Linked DNA regions of Diceros bicornis minor. The protein of the gene in region 1 purifies or fractionates together with the protein of each later gene. This does not show direct contact. Links are inferred from orthologs where the notes say so. Each region holds a gene or a part of one and is shown in the gene's direction. Other genes may lie near its edges.

Region 1 (7,296 bases):
TCCAGCCATTTGTGACATCATGGATGGACATTGAGGGTATAATGCAAAGTGAAATAAGTCAGAGGGAGAAGGTCAAATACCGCATGATTTCCTTCATTAAGTAGTAGATAATAACAACAATAAACAAACACATAGGGACAAAGATTGGATTGGTGGTTACCAGAGGGGAAGGGGGGAGGGAGGAGGGTGAAAGGGATAATTCGGTACATGTGTGTGGTGATGGGTTGTAATTAGTATTTTGGTGGTGAACATGATGTAATCTATGCAGAAATAGAAGTACAATGATGTACACCTGAAATTTTTACAATGTTATAAACCAATGTTACTGCAATAAACAAAAAATTAAAAAAAAAAAAAGAAACAGTATGTCTCTCCCTTTATTTATGTTTTCTTTCATCATTCTCAGCAAAGTTTTGAGTCTTTCTTCCACATTGCCCTGCAGACTGCTGGTTAAGCCATTTCCTAGCAATTTTACACTGATTACTGTTATATATCAGATCTTCTATTTAATTATGTATTCTATCTTATTTTCACTGGAATTTAAGGAAGTACACCCACTCCTATTATCTGCAAATATTTATTTTTACATTTTTCTCTTTTAATCTCATTTCATTATCAGAAACATCTGGCACAATGTTAAATTGGTGTGATATTAGCAGGCATTCCCTCTTCTCAAATTAAAGGAGAATAACTAGCATTTCTCTTTTAAGTCTAAGATAGACATTATTGTGAAATATTCTTTATAGTGTCAACTCTTTTCTTCTTAAAGTTTATAGAAACTTTAAAAAATTGGGAATGGACAGGGAATTTTTTTTAATGCCATTTCTGCCTGTAGTAAGATGATCATGTAGTTTATCTCCTTGGATCCACAAATGTGATAACTTATACTAATATATTTTAATGTTCTACAAACCTTGAGTTCCTGGAATGAACCCCATATGGTCATGAAGAATTATTCTTTTAAGATACCTATTTATTCCTGGCATAGAAGAGGCTTAGAAGTTGCCACTCTATCCTAACAACAAGTAAAAATCTGAACAAACTGAAAAAATCAGCCAATTTTCCTAGGTCCATAAAAAAAAAGTGAGGTCACACAGCAAACCACTGCCCCTAAAATTGGAGAGACAGACAGGTGGATACAGAGAATCACAACTTAGCAGAGCAGAAACCCACAGCTGGGGTAGGAAAATTTGAACTGTAACTGGCGAATTACTAGAAGCTCAATGTGGACAAATTTGAGAGTTAAAAACTCCAGGAGGACCCAGTCATAGGAGGGCCTCCCACACATCCGTGAGTTTACCTCCAGGAGCTCTACCAGGCTTCACAGTGAATATCTCAGAAAAATCCCCTCCTGCTTCCAGCAAAGTGAGGGGGAAAGGAACTATTCTGAAAAAACACCAGAGCATTCTGTTCTTAACAAGGTCTGCCCTCAGGAGAAACTCTTTAACCTGAGCCTAAGCTATTGGGGTTTTTATCCAAGCCCAGCCTACTTGGAGAAAAAGAAATATCCAACTCCAACTGCAGCTGGCTCTAGGCTTCCACGTGGGGGAAGGGAAACATAACCTCAATCCTCTCTAGCCACCCTGTCCCACCAAAGGTGGGGGGAACTGAGAAGCACTGGTGAAGTTCACAGTCTAAGGGCACAGGCTCACCAAAAGACTGAAACCTCATCGTAGAACAATAGAACGCTTCCCCTCCTCCTACACCTTACAACTACATTACTAAAGGCCTGTTGACCACACTTCCTTATATCCAATACATCATGTCTGCCTTTGAACAAAAAGTTACAAGACATACTAAGAGACAAAACATACGGTTGGAAGGGAACGAGCATCGGAACCAGAGCTGGAAGATAGCAGGAATGTTGGAATTTTCAGACAGGAAATTTTTTAAAACTATGACTCATATGCTAAGGGCTTGAATGGAAAAATTAGGTAACATGCAAGAAGAGATGGATAATGTAAGCAGAGAGATGGAAATTCCAAGAAAGAATAGAAAAGAAATGCTAGAGATCAAAATGAAGACTGTCTTTGATGGGCTCATTCGTAGAGTGGACATGGCTGAGGAAAGAATCTCTGAGCTTGCAGATATGACAATAGAGACTTCTAAAATGGAAAAGCAAAGAGAATAAAAAGCCTGAAAAAAACAGAACAGGATGTCCAAGAACTGTGGGACAATTACAAGAAGTATAACATGCATGTAATGAAGAAGAGAGAGAGAAACAGAAGCAATATTTGAAGGAATAATGCCTGAGAATTTCCCCAAATTAATGTCAGACACTAAACCATAGATCCAGGAAGCTCAGAGAACATGAAGCAGGATAAATGCCCAAAAAAACCCATTAAAAAACAACAGCATACTATATTCAAACTACAGAAAATTGAAGATGAAAAAAGAAGTCGGATAAAAAAACACCCTACCTATAGAGAAGCAAATATAACAATTACATCTGACTTCTCAGAAATCATGCAAGCAAGAAGAGAGTGAAGTGAAATATTTAAAGCATTGAGAGAAAAACTCCACCAACTTAGAATTCTTTAATCTGCAATATTATCCTTCAAAAGTGAAGGAGAAATACTTTTTCAGACAAACAAAAATTGAGGGAGTTGATTGCCAGTAGACCTGCCTTACAAGAAATGTTAAAAGAAGTTCTTTAGAGAAAAGGAAAATGATATAGGTCAGAAACCCACTTGGATCTGCATAAAGAAAGGAAGAATATCTGAGAATGAATAAGTGAAGGTAAAATAAAAACATTTATTTTTCTTATTCTTAATTGACCTAACAGTTTACAGTTCAAAATAATAATAGCAACAGTGTATTTGATTATGTATGCTATGTATACATACATGCTTATATATGCTTACGTATAAGTGAAATGAATGACAGCAATGATACAAAGGATGAGAGGGAGAAATTAGGAGTATTTTTTTTATTATAAGGTTCTTGCACTACCCATGAAGTAGGATACTGTTATTTGAAAGTGGACTTGGATTAGTTGTAAGTGTATATTGCAAACTCTAGGACACACTAAAAAAAGTCAAAAAAGAAGAACTGATATGCTAAGAAAGGAGAGAGAATGGAATCATATAAAATGCTCAGTTAAAACCACAAAAGACAGAAAAGAGCAGATGACAAAAATAGGAACAAAGAACAAGGGCAACAAATAAGAAACTGTAATGAATATAGTAGATATTAATCCAAATACATCAATAATCACCTTAAACATCAATGGTCTAAATATACCAATTAAAAGACAGAGATTGTCAGAGAGGATCAAAAAACAAGACCCAACTATATGTTGTCTACAAAACATCCACATTGAATATAAAAAAGACACATATATATTAAAAGTAAAGGGATGAGGAAAGATATACCATGCTAACACTAATCAAAAGGAAGCAGGAGTAGCTATATTAATTTTAGACAGAGTAGACTTTAGAGCAAGGAAAGTGTTGAGGGATAAAGAGGGGCATTACATGATGATAAGGGGGTCAATTCTCCAAGGAGACATAATCCTTAACATGTATGCACCTGACTAATAACAGAGCATCAAAATGCATGAGGCAAAAACTAATAGACCTGCAGGGAGAAATAGATGAGAACTTGGAATTTTAAGGACAGCGTTCAAGAAGTCGCAAAATAAAAGTAGCTTTTGGGGAAAGACGATCAAAATTATGGATGACCTTTACAGTGTGTGGGGTGGAGGTGGGGGGAACCGGGAAAACGTTTTGAGCTTCAAGAATGGTGCAATACCTGACTGAGCAAGTTCCTTGATTTTTTTTCACCTCTTACTATCTAGGAGGTAGACGATTTATCTACTCTTTTACCCCCATTTTACAGCTAAGGAAACTGGGACACCTGGTGACTACCGGACGTGCCTCAATCCGAGGTAGAGTTCGAGCGCACGCATACTGGCCCTGCTTGGTGACATGTCCCAGAGAGGAAACACGAGGGACGGAAGGAAGGGCGACGTTCCCTGCAAAGCCTTCTCTGGGCTCCCTGCCCCCTTGGGGCGCAGCGGCTGGGCCCGGGCAGCCCGCACGGGGGCGCTGTCGGCACGTGGTGCGGGACGGGGCTGCCAGCCCCGCCGTCAAGGGGACCTGGAGGCGGGCGCCAGGTGTCACCCGGCTGGGGCTGCAGGTGCAGCGTCCGGCCGCGGGGCGGCTGCGAAGGGGCGCTGGGGTGAGGCTAGGCGCGCGGAGGGCGCGGAGGAGGCGTTAGAAGTGGCGGAGCGGGGTCGCGCGGCGCTCGGGCCGCTGGCAGGGCGGCGGGCGCCTGCGGGGCCCGCGCGATGGCCGGGTGGCCCTGGGGCGCGCCGGGCGGGACCTTGAGGGGCAATGGGTGCGCGCTGCTCAACGCCTCTCAGCCGGCGCCCGGCGGCGGGGAGGGCACGTGGCCGCGACCCTCGTGGCTGGCCTCCACGCTCGCCTGCATCCTCATCTTCACCATCGTGGTCGACATCCTGGGCAACCTCCTGGTCATCCTGGCCGTGTGTCGGAACAAGAAGTTGAGGAACGCAGGTAGGGGCTCCCGGGGCCCGGCGGGCTGGACGTGCAGCCTCAACTCTCCCCTGACGGCAGCCTCTCCCTTGTCTGGCCACCTTTCCAGAACGCAGCACCCTCAGCTGTCAAGTGGCTTTTTCCTAAGAAAAGCTCAGTTCTTTTCCTTAAATACTGGGGATTTGGAGTCATTTTTCCTAACAGAGACTGAAGCCCGTCGGTTTCCTTTTCCTTTAACCTGCCCATTTAAGATGTTTCTGCATAAAACAGCAAGGCGTCTTCAGTTTCTAAGGGGTAGAAAACTTTGCCCGAGTCAGGTTCTCTTTATTTTAGGGGACAGCCCCACTGTACAGTTTTCAATTTCTGAGGTTTATTAGATTGGGAGACACGGGTACAGGTTGCAGAAAGTTCTTCAAGAAGGCGTTTCAAATCAGATCAATGAACTTATCAGTTGCTTGGTTTTACATATAATTTATTTTCCCCAACTTTGTTAAAATATGAGAAAATATATAAGCTGGCAAAATGATAGCGCAATGATTTTAGTTTTGTTGTCAGGAGTGGTTTTCAGTTTTTAGCATACAATTTGAAAAGAACCGTAGGCTCCTAAACATGCTTTGGAAAGTGTCTATTATCTCTCCAAGTTAGTAAAGAGTGTGTTTACATGTAATATACTACTAAAGCTAATTTAGCGCTTGAGTTAAATTTCCTTTTTCTTCCAAGCAATGAACTGAAATTGGTTTATCATGAGTGGGAGCCTGAGGGCGATTTGTCCACAGGACACTGGACGCTCAGATCTCTACTTGATGATTAGGTGCCTAGTTCCTTATTTGGAGGCAAACTTTCTGGAGGTGGGGGTGGGGAGGGGAGGGAGCTATGCACTTACATGTTTGTCAAAAGCAATCGTTTTTGTTCCAACCAGGTAGTTGGTCAACACTGTAATTTTGTTAGCTTCTTTCTGGGAGGGCTTCCTTTTTGCTTTCCATAATGCTTGAGACAGTGCATAGTTTAAGAATTAGTTAATAAGGACCTGATAACATGAATTGAATTTGAGTTAGTCCGTGGAATAACCTCACTTCATAGATTGGCTTAAACTAGAGAAATTCTGCCTTCCAGAAGAGGCTCATTCCTTCCTAGCAATCAAAGCAGCTTTCTGTGGGCCAGACACGGTTCTGAGAGCCTGTTAACTGGACCCTCGGGGCAGCCCTGTAGTGGGGTGCCACTGTCACCCACTTTACGATCCAAGGACACAGATTGGTTTTACCGACCGTAGGTGGTGGAGCAGGTTTAATCGAGAGCGCACTCTACTTCATTGACTTCAACAACTGCAGCTCTTGGGAAGTTCAGATCCTGCAGAACCTTTCATTTAAAAAAATGATATTCACATGCCTGGAACAATTGTATTTCTTGCAATTTTTATTTTATTTTATTTTTTTTGTGAGGAAGATCAGCCCTGAGCTAACATCCATGCTAATCCTCCTCTTTTTGCTGAAGAAGACCGGCTCTGAGCTAACATCTATTGCCAATCCTCCTCCTTTTTTTTTCTTCCCCAAAGCCCCAGTAGATAGTTGTACGTCATAGTTGCACATCCTTCTAGTTGCTGTATGTGGGATGTGGCCTCAGCATGGCCAGAGAAGCGGTGCGTTGGTGCGCGCCCAGGATCTGAACCCGGGCCGCCAGTAGCGGAGCGGAGCACTTAACCGCTAAGCCACGGGCCGGCCCTCTTGCAATTTGTAAAAAAAAGAACTTATGAAAAGTGCTCCTTCCACGCTACTTTGTATTTTGTTCGTTTGCTAACCAACTTTTTGATGGGGCAGTCTATAAAATACTGCATCCTTGTAGCTGACTGGGAGACCATAGTGAGCTTTAATCTGCGTAGCTTTTGATCTTTCATATTTTTATAATTAGGACTTTATATTCAGCTAGTTGTACCACTGTTGCAATTCAAACCATTGGAGGCTTTCTAGAATGGATGGTAATTTGAAACAGTGATAGAGATAGCTGATCCAAATATGAATTTGAATTTGGGGATGCTTATTAAAAGTTCTTATGGTTTTTCAGTCCTTCCATTTCAGTTAAGTTTATTTTGTTGGCATTGAGGGTGAAAAGATGGAAAGAACAGAATGGAAGAAATGAGATAAAAAAATAAGAACGCTAAGTCATCTTAAGTTTTGAACTAGTGCTTTCTCTTGGAATCTGGTATAATTATTTATGACCCCCTTCTTTCCTCAGGAGTGTATTGACATTTGACTTCCTAGGGAAGAAATTAAAAATGTTTAACAGCCGTATGTCAGGGACACTGGCCATTCAGAGCAGACACAGGCTCCAAATGACCACTAGGGTCTTACGTCTGTCCACAATTTGATACTAGAATTGATCTACCGTATTTGCATCTTCTGAGTAAATTTCGTAGTGTCACGGGAAGATTCCTGCTCTGGAATGCTAGGATTAATATCTGTGCTGTCTACCTTGTGATTTGAGAAATTAGTTAAGGTACCAAACCCTCATTTTCCACATCTGTCAAATACAGAAAGTATCTCATCCTTTAGCCTCACACGATTGTTGCCATTACCTAGTGAGATGACGCTTATGGAAATACTTTCAAAAGAATAAAGCAGGTAAAGTTATGTGTTTTTTTTCTAGGTACACCTAACAAGGGTGTGTTCAGTCTGTTAAAAATAATTGAACTGTAGATTTATGATTTGTGCACTTTTCTATATGTACGTTATACTTCAATAAAACTTTTATAAAAATAATAAAGCAAGAGTACAAAATACTTTGCCTATTCAAAATTCAATTA
Region 2 (7,947 bases), on another chromosome or scaffold:
GCCCTGAGCTAATATCCGATGCCAATCCTCCTCTTTTTGTTGAGGAAGACTGGCCCTGGGCTAACATCCGTGCCCATCTTCCTCTACATTATATGGGACGCCGCCACAGCATGGCTTGACAAGTGGTGCGTGCCTGGGATCCGAACCTGCGAACCTGCGAACCCCAGGCCATAGGAAGCAGAGTGCGCGTGCACTTAACCGCTGTGGCACCTGGCAGGCCCCCCACTTCTTGTCATTTAAAGGTCCTGTCTTCAGACTGTTCCCTCCTACATACACCTCCCAGTGGCTCTCAGGTCACCCCGTTGATTTCCTCAGAAACTGGAATTCATTTGCCTGTTTACTTGTTTGGCATGTGCTCCTGGGGAACAGGGTCCTAGCTGCCTCCCTCACCCTAGGGTTCTCAGCACAGTGTGCCACTGTGCTGAGGACAGGTCCCCCTTCTTCTGAACCTATTTGCTGTAGGTTCACAGCAAGTAGTAGTTGAACAGATAACTCCTCCTCCCAGATCCTCCGGCCCCTGTGTCAGGTGGAGCCCACTATCCCATCCAGAAACTTCTAGCAAGGAGTGCTGGGGCCTGAGTTTTCCAGACCAAAGCCTATTGTCTCTGAAGGAGGTGGATGAACAGGAAGGGGGACCCTGGACCCCAAGACCCCCTAGGTTTGAAACTGTTCCTTCCAGGGAAAGAAAAGCTTGGGAAGAGAGATTTGGAAGGAAGGAGCAGAGAGAGTAGGGTAGCCGACTCCAATCTCAGAACTGCTGCTGGGCTAAGAAGTAGGAAGGGGGAAGTGCTGGGGATGTACCAGGAGGTGGAGCCTGGCTCAGGGCTGCAGGGAGGGAGCCAGCTCTGGCCACTGAGATCTACAAGCAGAAGCTGCTGAGGCCATCTGCAAGGCTGTGATTTGGTGGTCACAGGGTCTTGCCAGGGACTCCCTGCCTCCTGGGAGCCATGGAGGTGGGGTGGTCAGGATCCTGGACTCTGAGTATCCCTGTGGGGTCCTGCCTCTTCCTGGACTCTGGGTGGGGGCAGACACACCCACCCCAAAACTGCCTTTGGGGAAGTGCTGGCAGCTTCCCCTTCCTGGAGCCTGTGGGCTGGAGTGTCACAGCCCACTGAGGGGGTCTCCATTCCTCACCCTGCTTAGCCTGGTGCACACAGGAACTCAGGACAAGCTGGACCTGCCCTGTTGCCTGTGGTGAGCCTCAAGGCTATTCTGGCTGTCCTGGTGAGCTGACAGCTGCCACTTCTCCATTCCAGCTGTGGTGCAGCCCTCAGTTCTGCTGGATGTCATTTCTTTGTCTGTTATGGTCTAGTCCAGGTGATGCTGGACCAGTGTGCACAGGGACAAGTCATGCCTCCTCTGGTGCCCATGAGGCCCTGGCTAGGCAGCCATCCCCTGTCCCCAAAAACAACGTCTCAAAAGGACTCCTGGGTTCCCAAGTGTGAAGGAAGCAGGATGCCTGTGATATCCTTTATTGGATGACTGTGGATGGGTCCTGGCCCCTCTGGGCCTCAGTTGCCTCAGCTGCAAAGCAAGCAGTGTCTCCAGCTCTGATCCTTGATTTTCTCTCTGGCCCTTCACCAAATCCACCCTCCCGGTCCCACCTCCCTGTTCCCTCTTCCTGCAACCTTCCCCCTCAGTGCTTTTCCCCATCCAGCACTCCCCACATCACCTCCACCAGGAAGGCTCCCTGACCTTCCCAGGCACCGTTAGTTTCTCCCTTCTGTGCACACATAACCTTGGCGGATGTTTTTTTAATGGCAGCAGGATTCCTTGTTTACACCTCTCCCAACTCCAGGATGGGGGACCCCTAGAAGGGCGGGGTAGAGTTTATGTTATTCATTCATTTAATTTGACAAATATTTACCTGCCACCCTCAAGAATTATGCTGCCAGGGGTCTAGAATCAGAGACCCAGGAGGGGAGAGACTCACCACCAGGTCAGTGGGATCTGGCTAGGGAGGGGGAAGCCCCAAGACAATGGGGGTCAGAGAGGGAATGCTCACAGGCAGGGAATGAAAGATGGGGAGAAGGGATGGGGGTGGGGGAGGAACAAGAGGATGAGGAGAGCAAGGCAAGTCACGGCTGGAGTGCTCCTGTGTATGGTAAGTGGAGGGAGATGAGGTGGACCTTGGGTGGTGACAGCCCCTACAGGGCCTTGCAGAAATTGCTATTATAACAACTCATTCACCCCTGTTGAGGGCTTTCCATGCGCCATGCACATTCTGAACATTTTACCTGCATTTCTTCTCTTGGTCCTGACCTCAGCTGGTGCGTTAGTGGCTAGATATTACTGTTAGGCCCATTTTACTGCTAAGAAAACTGAGGCACAGGGAGTTTCTCGTACTCTTTCAAAGTAATATGCAGGTGGCAAATTTGCAGACTGCTCCCCAGAGTCCTTGCCATCAACCAGCACTCTACCACTTTTGCCTCCTGCACAGTTCAAAGCAGTGTGTGTGGGCTTTATCCTCAGGACATTGGGGAGCCACAGAAGGTTTATGATCAAGAGAGTATTGTGATTTCTTTCAGCAAGATCCCCTTGGCTGCCTAGTAGAGGATGGATTATAGGGGAAATGGGAGAGCCAGGGAGGAGGCTGGAGGCCTAGAATAAGGAAGGGAAAGTGGGGATGGAAAATGGGATGCATTTGAGGGGGAATTGAGGAGGGGAAGGAACTGACAGGATGGGAGGGAGGGTCATGGCTCTGGCTGGTGAGAGGCCACAAAGTGGAGAGCCCAGGAGTAGGGGCCACTGAGGGTGCCGGAAGTGTCTGGTGGAGGCTTCAGAGTAGTGGTGGACGTGGGGCTGGCAATCAGGGGAGAAGTTGGGCTAGAGATGACCATGTGTGGGGTTCTGAGCCCCTGGAGTGGGAGGTTTGTGACTGGAGTAGCAATCAGAGGCCTAGCCTTAGCCCCGGGGACCCCCATGGAGATGGAGCAGCAAGAGGCATGGAAGCAGGGAGGGCTGGACTCGCTAGGAAGAACATGTAACTAGCAGGGAGTGGCTAACTGGTGGGAAGGGTGCAAGGACCACACTACCTGGCCTGGGGCTGGGGGAGGCCATGCCTCCCAGTGGCCCCATTCTGCCCTGCCTCCATTGATTGGGGTTTGTGTCTTCCTACCGCTGGTGAGCCTGGCCTCCAAGGGGCTGACAGGTTCTCTTGTTGCCCAGCAACTGCAAGAGCTGTTGGCTGTTGCTAGGAGCAGGCTGGGGAGGCCCAAGGAGGGAGGATCAAGCACAGGCTGGGGCTGGTGGGGAAAGAGGCCCGCCTTGGAGCTGCGTTTGTAGTCTCTGTGTGGACAGGCTGTGTTCTTGGCTATGTGCACCCATTTTTACAGTGTGTTCTATGGATCTGAGGCATGTTGGAGGCTGGGCCTATGTATGGATAGAGCATATCTCTGAGTGTCTGTGTCCCAGGTGGGCAGTATGTGTTTTCACTATGCTCGCTACATGCTTGTGGCAGGGCCTGCTTGAGCTTTGGCTCCAGGCAGGAGGGAGCCATGGGGGCACCACTGGGGGACTTACAGGGCAATGGCTCCTCAATAAGGGAGCCATTCAGATAGGATACACAGATACTGCAGGGAGAGCAGACAGCCTGAGGACTGGGGAGCTGAAACAAGATGTGTGCCAGTGTGGTAAGGAGGGAGTCTGTGCTGAATGGGGCTGTGGGTGGCCAAGCATTGGTGGCCAGCTCCCCTCCTGGCTTTGTGGAACTTCCTTGTCTTTGGGCCGAGGCCTCCCTGGTTCATGTTACTGGGGCCACACAGGACACCTTCCTGGGTAACCCTTGGCAGACCCTTCAAATATCCATCGGAGGTTGGGGCTGTGGACTCCTCCTGGAGAACAGGATTAGAAAGACTGAAATGTTCTGCTAAAAACACTGCTGCCTCCACCCCACCAGCCATAGGGTTGCAGCCACTATCCAGTGGGGACAGGCCATAAGATCATGGCCACTTATGTTTCCAAAAGTCAGGCGGCATATCCCTCTCCCTCTCCTCCCTCTCTCTGTCTCTCTCTCTCTCATTCTCTCTGTCTCCTTCTCTCTTGGGTCCTGGTTGCCAGGTCCCAGACTGAAATCCAAGATGGCTACCTGCAGGGGGATGCCTCCTAGAAGATCAGAGAAGGATGGATAAGCCTTGGATGACTAGAGAAGGCACCCCAGCTGAGGGAGACAGACTAGAGGTGGTAAGAGACTTTTTTTTTTAATATTGCAATCCAGAGAGAGAAGGTGACAAACCTGCCTTAAGACGGAGCAAGCCCCAGTCCAGAGAGGCTCTGGCCCTCTGCAGATCCCGAAACAAGTTTATTGGGTTCATTAACTTTAACAAGTGACGAAGACACGCCTCCTCCACCCAGCTCGCCCAACTAACAAGTACAGAGGACTGGTTCCTGCTCTGGCCGCGAGGTGCACCGGATCCCCACCCTCCGGCTACGAGATCTCCCGCCCCCGCCGTGGGCCGCTGAGCTCCAGGCGCTCCACACCCAATCGGAGCCCGGCCCCGCCTGCAGCCGGCTCGGAGCCCAATCCCTCTGAGCTTGGCTCTACCCCTACAGCTATCCCTCGCGTGGCTCCGCCTCCAGCCCCGGCCCGAGCCTGAGCAGCGCCTAACTTCTCCTTCGCTCCGCCCTCGAGCCAATCACCTGCCCCGGATCCCCTATGGCCCCGCCTCCGGACCCGCCCCGGCCCAGTCCAGGGCCTGGCTCGCTCCGGCTCCACCCGCGGCCCGCCCAGCCGTCGGTGCGCGGAGGCCTGGAAGGCACCGCCCGCAGACGCTCGGGACTGCCGACCCGAGAGCTACCCGTAGAGGGCCGGCGGCGGGAGCGGAGTGGGTCGGGCGGGGCCGAGCCGGGCCGGGGGCCGTGTGGGGGCCGGGCGGCGGCCGGGCCGGCGGACGGCGGGATGGGCTGCACTGTGAGCGCTGAGGACAAGGCGGCGGCCGAGCGCTCCAAGATGATCGACAAGAATCTGCGGGAAGACGGCGAGAAGGCGGCGCGGGAGGTGAAGTTGCTGCTGTTGGGTGAGGCCACGCCCAGCGTTGGGACCCCCCCCCCCCCCCCCCCCCCGCCACACACACACTCCCCGCCTAAATCCCCAGACAAGGACTTAGACCTCCAGACTACGGCTTCGAACTTCCAGACTCGGCGTGAACTCCCACACCTGGATTTGAATCCCCGGACCCGGCCTGGCCAGAACACCCAAATAATGGTTCAAAACTCTGGGTTGGCCTAGACCTTTGATCCATAGCGCAGACTCTAGACCCTCAGCTCGTCCCAGACCGTAAAACCCCAAACCCAGCCACCAGGTCCTCAACACCAGCTGCCCAGAACCCTGCTTGACCATCCACCCTTGCTCACCAACTCACAGACCCTCAGAGCCCCTGCCTTGTCCTTCCATCTCTCCCTAGACTTTACCCAAACCCCTAGACCCCACGCGGCCCCTACCCTCAGGCACCACCTGTTTCCCCCACCTGCTCCCCCTATTCCTATTGGGCATGAGTATCCCCGAGGGCCCCTGCCAGGCCCCCACCCACTCCTTCCTTTCCCCTCTGTGCCCCATCCCTACTCTGGACCCTATATCCTCCACCTGTGCACCCTGACTCCAAAGGACCTCTCAAGTGGGTAAACATGACTGCTCATGAGCCCTCTCTCTAGCCGGAACCCCCAAACCTCTAGAGACCCCTGTTCTCTGCATCTGGCCCACCAAGTCCCTCTCTGCAGGCATCACTCCTTAAACCCTCTGCTCCCCCTCCCTTAAGTCCTCTCCCACACTCTGGCCTTGCCCAGATTCCCCCACCCCTCCTGCACTGGGTGGGCTGGGCTGGGCTGGGCTGGTTGGAGGGGGCCCAGACCCCTAAGGGGCTGGACTGAGGCTCCACGGGTCATGCTGGGGGAGGGGGCCAGGCCTCAAACTTCCCAGGGAGAGTACACTGACTCTCTGTTTCTCAGTTTCTAAGCCCTGTCTGGGCCTGTGAGAGGGAGGTGGTCTGGGGAGTAGGAGGGAGTGTGGAGGAGTTTGGGTTGCGGCGCCTGTACGGCCAGGGAAGATGGTGGATGCTTGAGAGGTGGGGGGAAGTGGAAGTGGTGAGACAGCCGACATATTGCTGCCCCGGCAGGCGGGGCGGAGGAGATCGGCTGACGGGTACTGGGCTACCCGCACTCCTTCTAGGCCGAAAAGTCTCGGACATGGCCTCTGGGAGTGAGTGGGCCTGTTGGGTCTTGAGGCCCTGTGAAGGGGGAGTGGTGGACCAGCTGGATGAGGAGTTGGGGAGCCAGCTGAGGGTGGGCATCTGTGGTGGACCTCTGCAAAGATTGGGCCATGTAGTTGTTCCCGTCCAGTTTCCCACTCGGAGCAAGTGTGGTGCCCAGGGGCAGCCTGACTTGGGGGGCGTTTCAGGGTTGTGGGGCGGGAGGCCCTCACAGCAGCGAGGAAGGCTGGACAGTGTATGTGGGGGGGTGTGGCCCCTTGGCCCCAGAGCTGCTCTGGGGTCCCTAGGCTGTGAAAAGCAGGGCTTTTCATGCTGGGCGTATGGCCGAGGGACAGCATGTCTTCCATCATGGGCCCATCTGTTGACTGTCCCTGGGGGCCTGGCTTCGGGGGCACAGCCCTGGAGGTTTCAAAATGGCATCCGCTTCACCGCCGCTGCGGGGAGGAAGAGAAGGGGCGGGAAGGGGCGGCGGCCCAGCCTCCTGGGCTGTTTTGCGTTGGGCGCTTGCCTCTTCCTGTCTCTGCTGTGAGTGCGGCAGCGGCAGTGAGTGGGTGTCGACGCGGTGGAATGCCCGTCGCTGCTGCCCGCTGGGCCTGGAGAAGGTGCTTCCGGTACTGCTGCCTCCCCGTGCCCAGCCAGGAGCATCTAGCTAGCCCCCTCTCAGGCCGACTGCAGCGGCTGAGGAGATATGGGAATGTGCCATGGGGCTTGGGGACACAGAGCTCCTGTCCTGTTCTGTGTCCCTACCGCATCCCATCAGTCTTGCTCTTTGGAGCCCTGCTCAGGTTTTGAGCCTGGTAACCCCTCCCATGCTGGGCTGGCAGCAACCAGGGGTGCAGGGTCTGGCTCAGCATTTGCTAGGCTGGGGAGTCCATCTCAGCATCCTGCTCCTCTGGCTGTGCTTCCTCTGTGAAATGGGCTTCCTGGGTTTGGGCCAGAGGAGTGCTTGGGCCCAGAATGGGAAGAATAGGGGCCTTGTGGAGGTTCCTGTTGGGAGTGTGGGGTGGGGGCTAAAACCCTGCAGAGGGTGCACTGCAAGGGGCTGGGAGACCAAGCTGTGCCTGAAATTGAGGACCCAACTTGCTGTGGCTGGCTGGGGAGGGGTCGTGGCTGGCTATCCGTTTCCCATCCAGGTACAAAGAGGTGATGGAGCTGCTGGAGCAGCTTCAGCATGCTGGGTGCCTGTCCCATGTAGCAGAAAGGACTCTGTCGAGGCAACGGGACTCAGGCTGGGCAATTGCCAGCCTTCTCTCTCAGCCAGAACCACGCCTGCTGCCCCACCCGCATACTGGTTCCTTCCCATCTTGGGTAGCCTTGCCAGCGGGCAGGTACAGTCACTGTCACTGGGGCAGAGGCAGATGTGGTACACACTGGTGAGAGGGTTTTTCCTGGCAGCTTGGTGGGGGGAGCAGAGTTTCTGATACCAGCCCTGTTCCAGGGATACCCCAACCTCTACCAAGTTCAACTTGACTGACCAGCTATCCCCAGGTGGAATCTGGGGCCTTGGGCTGGGCACTTAGGGGAAAGAAAGCCAGAGCATATGTTTGGGGAGTGTCTTCTGATTTGGGATGGGCTTTCTGGGCAGCCTACAGAGAAAGGAGAGATAGTGCCCACTGTTGGCCCCATGAAGGCTTCGGGTGTAGATACAGCAGTTCTTTCTGCCTCTGAGACTTTGCATCTATCCCTCCACTTGGTGTGCTTTTCCCATTTCCATCTAACTCACTCCTACTTGATTGTTCTTCAA
Region 3 (7,582 bases), on another chromosome or scaffold:
CTCTGAGTTCCTGGAGCAACAACTCACCAGCGACATCATCATGTCGGACAGCTACCTCCGTCCTGCTCCCTCACCTCGACCGGAATCATGATGGGCTGCTGGACACTTGGAGGGAGATGGGGCTGAGGGCCAGTTATGGAACACCATGTGGGATCACCTATTCCCAGCTAGCTGGGGCTGGGGCTGGGGTCTCTGCACACAGCTTTTGCTTAGTGTTTTTTGGGTCAGGAACAGAGCCAACAAGATGGACATGTGGCAAAAGCCTTGGACATGGCTGTGATGCTTGACTACTGGGGGAGGGAACCTGGTGAGATGGTGACGAGAGTAACGGGTCACGAAGGTGAGATGATGCCTTTCAACCAGTGAACTTTCCACGCCTCAGGAAGCAGGGAAACTCTCTAAGGGTAGGAGCTGGAGGATACAGGGCAGCAGGCCAGGTTTGGAGTTATTCCGGGGCCCTTTAGGATATTTCCTTTTTCAGTATAATTGTCCAGGGAAATCATTGCACCCAAGCAAGGTAAGAAAATGACCCATGTCTTCTCATTTCCTTGCTAGGTTTAACAAGAACTAAATTATAGCCAAGTGTTTCCATTTGAGTTAATAGATCTTTTTTTTAGTTTTAGACCTGAGGTTTCCTTAAAGTGAGAGGACTAGGTATATTCCTCTCCTGAGTTTGACCAGAAGCAGGAGGAAATAGCAATCAGTGTGCATCGAGTAGAAGACAGGAAAGTTGACTACAGCTCTCTGTCTTCCGCCCTCAAGCTTGATCTCAGCAGAAGCAAGACTAAGACTGGATGGCTCTTTCTCCTTGTCTTTTAGGATGAAGAAGTGGAAAGATTGGGGGCTGAAGATAACTTTTTTTATTATAAAAAGTTATACTGATATCATTTAAATTGCTAAGGTGGTTGGATACAGACAGGCCAGGCAATCACCCTGACCAGTAATACTATAAATCTTTTTTTTTTTCTCCCTAGGACTGGCCTTCCTGATCTCTCTCCTCATGGCAGTGACCCACCTCCAGCCCCCTGGACAATCGGGTACAAGAGACTAAGGTTGGGAATGGGAAAGGTGGGGTTTCCATGGTTCATTAAATGCCTCCCTACTCCCATTCATCGCTCTCAAAATTAGCTTCAGTGACAAAGACTTAATCTCTCTCCTATCTGCAGCCCTGGGTTGGAGACAGGGCACAGGAGTTGGGCTCAGCTGTTCACTGATTGAGACTGTAGGAACTGTGTTGGTTGGTATCGGTGGTGGTATTTTCAAGGGAAGGGGAATAATTGCAAACTAGACAGGACATCCATCTGGGACTACCTGTCCATCCCACTTCCCTCAATTGAATCAGGTGACATTAAAGGGTTAAGGTAGGACCAGAGGGTGGTGTGGTCTGTATTTAAACAAATTCCTGGCTCATCGAGCATCTAAGGGGAAGATGTGCTGGTGGGAGTGGGATAGATTCCCTTTGAACAGCCAATAAATAATTTTTATTATAAAAAGTTATACTGATATCAACATTGACTCCTTCAGTTCAATTCAGTGCATAATAGTTGAATACCCAATATTCTCTGGCACTCACACAGAGGATGTAGAGTCACTGCCTTCAAGGAGTTCATAGTCTAATTTGATCAGGTACCTTGTATTTTTACATCTGGTAAAGCAGTACAGAATGTATTTGAGAAATATATTGGAGAATATGCTCTTGGTTCTCACTTCTGAGAGTTCAGTCCATTGCAGCAAGATACGTACATGGAGGCTTCCTGCAGATTGTGAAAAGTATGAGGGTTGTAAATGAAACTCTAGTTGAAGAAAAACAATTTATTAAATGAAACTTGGGCAAATAGCTTTCCCCCTTCAGATCTAGGAAAATTTCCAGGTGTCTGTCTTCCTACTCCTAGACTTACTCTAGTCTAAGGCCTATTACATTGAGGAAATCCCTTGGATAGTATACACTGAGGAGAGTCTCTTGTGATTGAAAAACATACTCTCTCCTCCCTTTTAAGATACACTCATAAGAGAGGAATCTCATTCCTGAACAGGGGGAGAACTCTTCTTCCAAACATCATTGATCAGCTAGTACGGCCTAAGCATTGCCAGCAGGTGGCAGTGTGAGTCCAGCGGAAACAGAAAAGGTGCGGTTCGTGGGGTGGGGGCTCTAAACATTGCCTGGCAGCCATTTTGTTAATTTATTTTGCCTTTTCCTTTGACTTTGCCCTCCAACCCTTCCTTCACATACATCAAAGAAGAAAATTTTAAGTGCAAGGATATCTCTAATTCAGGCTGAAATTTCCTGACACTGTGATCTCACTGGAGTTTATTACAGAATTTGACATACGCTGGTTCATTTGCCCTTTCTTTTTCCCTGAGTGGATCATGAAGGAAATAAAAATTTCTTTTTTATTATGCTGAGAACTTTCCCAACAATTTCTGTCATGACCACCTTCCAGGAGTTTTCTAGTTACCAGGATTGCTTGGTAAAGTTCAAGATGTAATCCTTAGCTGTGAAAGCTGTTCCTGGACAAATTTTGACCTCTCTCATCCACTGAAGAATCAACAGGTTGAGACAACCGTTCCATCACTTTTTGCTGCACCCTAGTGGTGCTGGGGTAACTTTCAATCCTAGATGAAAACCTTCTGTTGTCAGGTCTCCCCAGGTAACATCTTAAAGTGGAATGGTAGAAAAGGGGTGAATTTGGAGTCAGATCCACTTACTCACTGTGTGAACTTGGGAAAGATGCTTAATTTCTCTGAGCCTATTTCCTCATCTGTAAAAATGGGGATAACATTACCTACCTCACAGGGTTGTTGTGAGGATTAAGAGATGACACGTGGAAGCATCTAGCCATACCTGGCAAATAGGAACTCAATAAATATTGGTTTTTCTTCCCTTTCCTCTTGCCCTTTTTCCCCCACAAGTATTGATTATGGGAAAGAAGTCCCTTCTATTCTAACAGGTTTGGGAATGAGTAGACTTTTCAAACTTTGAAGAAAGGGCATTGATAAATTATGGTGGATGAGGCTGTTTAAGGTGGCTCTCAAGAAATCTAATTAATGAATCATCACCTTACACACCTTTCTGTTGCGACTTTACATTCTAAGGTTTAGATTCTATTAGGGAAATAATTTTTTTGTGTGTGTGAGGAAGATCAGCCCTGAGCTAACACCCATGCCAATCCTCCTCTTTTTGCTGAGGAAGACTGGCCCTGGGCTAACATCTGTGCCTATCTTCCTCCACTTTATATGGGATGCTGCCACAACATGGCCTGACAAGCAGTGCATTGGTGCACACCAGGGATGCAAACCTGGGCGGCCAGCAGCTGAGCGTGCGCACTTAACCGCTACGCCATGGGGCCAGCCTGGGGAAACAACTTTTAATCACAGGGAAAGGTTTTGGGGGCTACAAGAGGTACCCTCCCTAGAACGTATAGTGAGAGTATTTGTGGGGCTATGTGGCAGTCAAGGTAATTTAGGGCCACCTTCATGGTAGTACCCAGGATTATAAGTGAAAAAGGTTATCAGTCTGGGGCTTTTATGGGGGATTTATTAATTTTCAGGTGATGCTACAGCTGAGAGGCAAATTCTACTAGAACTTCCCTTTTTGGCTATCACAAAAGGAAATTTTATTAGGAGATTCACAGGATGCACTGGTTTGTTTTGAGGTGTGGGTCAGGGGTTGACTAACCTTGGTACGAATCCTAAGACCCTAACGCAGTACAATCTGTAAGCGCCCAAACTGCCTTATATCGGAGAAAGGCAGCATGGAAACTTTATGGAGGAACTACACGCTTCCCTTTCAGATAATCGAGTACGCTAGCGATTTCAAGTGGCCCTTTGCCAACACAGTAGCTAGGCACCTCTAAAGCCCACAGAAATTCGTATGAAACGGCCCGAGGACCAGGGTCCATTTTGAGAGCAGGAGGCAGTGGGCTAGAGAAGGCAGAAAGGGATCTGAAGTCCTAGGCATGGTCTTACAGATCTCAGATGCGAAGCGTGGCCGGGGCCCAGGCTTTGGAGTTTGTTCCCATCCCAGAGATCTGCCTGAAATGGCCCCGGCAGAGGAACTGTCCTACACTTGGGCAGGGGCCACGGGTCTCTAACGTTAGAGATCAAAGGGGCTTTCTCGCCAGTGAGAAATTCCCAGCAGAAATTCCCGCGCGGGCTGTGGGCTATTATTTGGGAATTCCTCCCACTCACGACCTCGCCACTCACGACCTCGGGAGGGGGTCATGAACTGGAGAAGGCAGTCCCTGGTTTTTCTACAGTTATTCAAATACAGCAGCCGAAAAGGTGAAAGGGGACTAAGGTCGAGCTCGACATGACCTGGCTACCCACGGCACTGCGGCTGAACCTCACCGTCCCTCTCCCCGTACTTCCGCTTCCTCTCGCGCCTCCTCTACCCCACCTAGAGAGGTTCAAGCAGTAACGGCCGAGGGGCGTTTCCGGAAGTGTCGTAAACACCGGATATCCGGTTCCTCCGGGAGCTCCGAAAGCTGACGGAGAGGGCCGCCGCCCAGTAGTAGGCTCTGTGTTAGCCAGCCGAGCTGCGGTTTCTGCGGGGTGTGAGTGAGTCCGGGCCCGGTCCCCTCTCCCGCCGCCGCCATGGGCTGCACGTTGAGCGCCGAAGACAAGGCGGCGGTGGAGCGGAGCAAGATGATCGACCGCAACTTGCGGGAGGACGGGGAGAAAGCGGCCAAAGAAGTGAAGCTCCTGCTACTCGGTGAGGGGCTGGGGGCGGGGCTGGCGGGGTCATCGCGAGGGCCTAGGCACTTGGGAGCCCAGAGCGGGGTCAGGCCGGGCTGGCGGAAAGGACCCCGCAGGGATCTGGAGGGCGTGACGGGCATGGGGCGGGGTGTTGGGTAGGTGGCTGAGGCCCCGGAGGGCGTCATGAGGAGGTGGGGTTTTGGGGTTGTAGGAATTAGGCTGGAGAGAGGGTGTGACTCTGTGCTGAAATTGTGTTTACCGAAGAGAGCTTGGCAGCGTGGGGCAGTAGGACGTTGAGACTGTGTTAGGAATATGGGAAAAGCTCATAAAGGAAAAGCCGATATTAGGGACGGTTTTGCAAGGGGTTGGAGTGCGTTGGTAGCAAGCAGGACGGGGTAGTGTGTTGGGCTTGTATAATGGCTTTTGAGTTTGGAGCGTAGTGCTACTTTATGACAGGATAGAGCTGGGAGGCTTGGATGATTAATGTAAATAGAGAGAGGGGCTGAGACAGAGTGGTCACATAAGGACCCTGTCATTTATTAGAGAGTGGGCATTTTGAACTCTGGGTGAGCTGGAGGAACCCTGGATTTTCCAGGAACATGCAAGTGTGTGGTTGAGATAATGACACGTTCTCATGTATAAAGGAAAAGAGCTTGGGTGCAGAGGCTGTCTGTACTTTTCCAGCTGTTTCTGTAATTTTTGTTCTCTTAAAGTTTTGTAATGCCTTCCCTTGTTTTTATAAAGGAGGAGATGGTGTGAGTTGAGGAAATTTGAGAACTGGCTTGTTTGAGGTTTGTGGCAAAAGGCGTAGTGGACAATAGATTACATATTGGGAGTTGCTGAATAGTTGCTAGGGATGATGTGCTGTGGAAATGGAGTTATCTTAGGATAAATTATGGAATTGGACATATTTACTTTAAAAGCTGTGACAGACTTCTGGTGAACTGTTTTATCTTTTTTGGTCTCTTCAAACTAAAAACATTGGCTTTAGGAATTACTATTTTTTTTACCTGACATTTGTTTTAAGTAGCTTTTACGTACAGTCAGATGCATTTTACTCAGCATGATTAGTTTTAAAATTTTTGTGAGACTGGCTTCTGGAGGCTCAGTTAATCATGTAAAGTACCTAGGCATCCACTTACCAATAAATAAATCAAGCCACATTTCTTTACTATGAGTATTTTCTAGGGATCTTTAGAGGAGAATAAGTAGGAGTAAATGGTTTCTGCAAGCAATAGAACTTTACTTTTTAGAACAATTGACTTTTGAGAAAAAGAAGTCACTTTAGGAGAAGTGCTAGATTTTCATGGTGTAAAACTCCAGAGGACAGAATGTGCCACCATAACCCAAGACTTATCTTGTACTCCAGGATGTGTGGGGTGCCTGTGCTAGTCTCTTCATGATAACATGTTTGGTGGTTTGTAGATTGCAGAAACCCTGGTAACAGCTTTTTGGATATAGGGGGAAGGTTATGTATTGGAGCTTGGGCTCCAGTTTGAATACATGATCTTTCAGAATGCATGAATTTAAATTGTAGTTCTAGATTGCCACTCTCTATGTAGCAGGTATCATTTGTGGATGAGCATGGTCCCTGGCACGTAGTAGATGCTCCTTAAATATTGACTGTCAACCAGCATGAGCCGGCTAATGTTGGATGTTGCTCTTTGGGGGCTTTCAGATGTTTGATGTAAACCATAATATGTACTCAAGGCATTAGCATTGTCTATATTGAGATTGGTTATGAAATTGAAGGTATGTTTTCATCCTTTGTGAGTGTTTTGATTTACATTGACTGTCAGAGATCCCCTCAGGACATTAGCCTATTGTAATATAGTTGTAAACTGTGAGGCTTTCTTCCAAATGGCGGGATTTGGCTGGCAGAACCTATACAAGCAGAACTTGTCCAAATGTCTAGAAAAATCTTTGTTCAGGACTTTTTAAGTAGTGCATTTAATTAAAAACAAAATTAAACACATGATGACCTGGGGAACTTCAAAAGCAGTAAGTAAAAATCCAAGTACTAAAGCATTTGCTTTTAATTGTTATCAATTTCGTTGTTTTAAGAAAGATTTTTTTATGTTCTTGAGCAAGTTAAATCAACAGCTTCAAATAGGTTGCAGAGACAGATGCTCTTGCTTGAACCATATCATAATGCACATATGAAATTAAAATTATCTTCCTTTTTCTATAAGCAAAATGCATACATCACAGTATGTAAGTAATTTTTTTTTTGCTGTAGAATACCCCTTTTGATGTATATGTAAGTCATTTTTACTTCATCACTGAAACTATCAAACTTAGTCTAAGTTGAGAACTGTTTACTTACCCTTGTCTCTCCTGGCACGTAATAGGTGTTCATTAAATCTTACTGTATTTTCTTCCTTGCAGGGATGTAGTATGGCATAATGATTAACCATATGGGTTCTGAAGTCAGACTGTTTTACATTCTAATTCTCATTTATCAGCTATAACCTTGGGAAAGTTATTTACTCAGTTTTTCTCTGCCTCGGTTTCCTCATCTTCAAAATGGAGAAAATAAAGGTACTTTCATAGGATTGCTGTGAGGATTAAATATGATAATAAAGTAGAACACAGCCTGGCACGTAGTATTAGCTCAATGAATATTAACTATTATTGTTATTATTAAATCAAAATGAACGTTACAGATTCTGGGGCCAGCCCGGTGGCGTAGTGGTTAAGTGCGGGCACACAGCTTCTGGGGCCTGGGGTTCACAGGTTCGGATCCCAGGCGTGGACCAACCTACCACGTGTCAAGCCATGCTGTGGTGGCGTCCCATATAAAGTAGAGGAAGATGGGCACCGGTATTAGCCCAGGGCCAATCTTCCTCAGCAAAAGGAGGAAGATTGGCAACAGACATTAGCTCAG

The links.
Region 2: the proteins of MTNR1A (region 1) and GNAI2 purify together in Homo sapiens (tandem affinity purification; 3 studies listed by BioGRID and IntAct, with this or other methods). This does not show direct contact. The link is inferred for Diceros bicornis minor from reciprocal best matches to the Homo sapiens genes MTNR1A and GNAI2.
Region 3: the proteins of MTNR1A (region 1) and GNAI3 purify together in Homo sapiens (tandem affinity purification; 3 studies listed by BioGRID and IntAct, with this or other methods). This does not show direct contact. The link is inferred for Diceros bicornis minor from reciprocal best matches to the Homo sapiens genes MTNR1A and GNAI3.

Annotation. Positions count from the first base shown.
Region 1 is NC_080768.1:17,951,179-17,958,474, reverse strand, and holds the start of MTNR1A (melatonin receptor type 1A), read left to right. Parts: upstream 1-4,278; 5' UTR 4,279-4,291; coding exon 4,292-4,520; intron 4,521-7,296.
Region 2 is NC_080741.1:51,277,815-51,285,761, forward strand, and holds the start of GNAI2 (guanine nucleotide-binding protein G(i) subunit alpha-2), read left to right. Parts: upstream 1-4,850; 5' UTR 4,851-4,897; coding exon 4,898-5,015; intron 5,016-7,947. UniProt on the Homo sapiens protein: Guanine nucleotide-binding proteins (G proteins) are involved as modulators or transducers in various transmembrane signaling systems.
Region 3 is NC_080743.1:42,585,179-42,592,760, forward strand, and holds the start of GNAI3 (guanine nucleotide-binding protein G(i) subunit alpha-3), read left to right. Parts: upstream 1-4,491; 5' UTR 4,492-4,593; coding exon 4,594-4,711; intron 4,712-7,582. UniProt on the Homo sapiens protein: Heterotrimeric guanine nucleotide-binding proteins (G proteins) function as transducers downstream of G protein-coupled receptors (GPCRs) in numerous signaling cascades.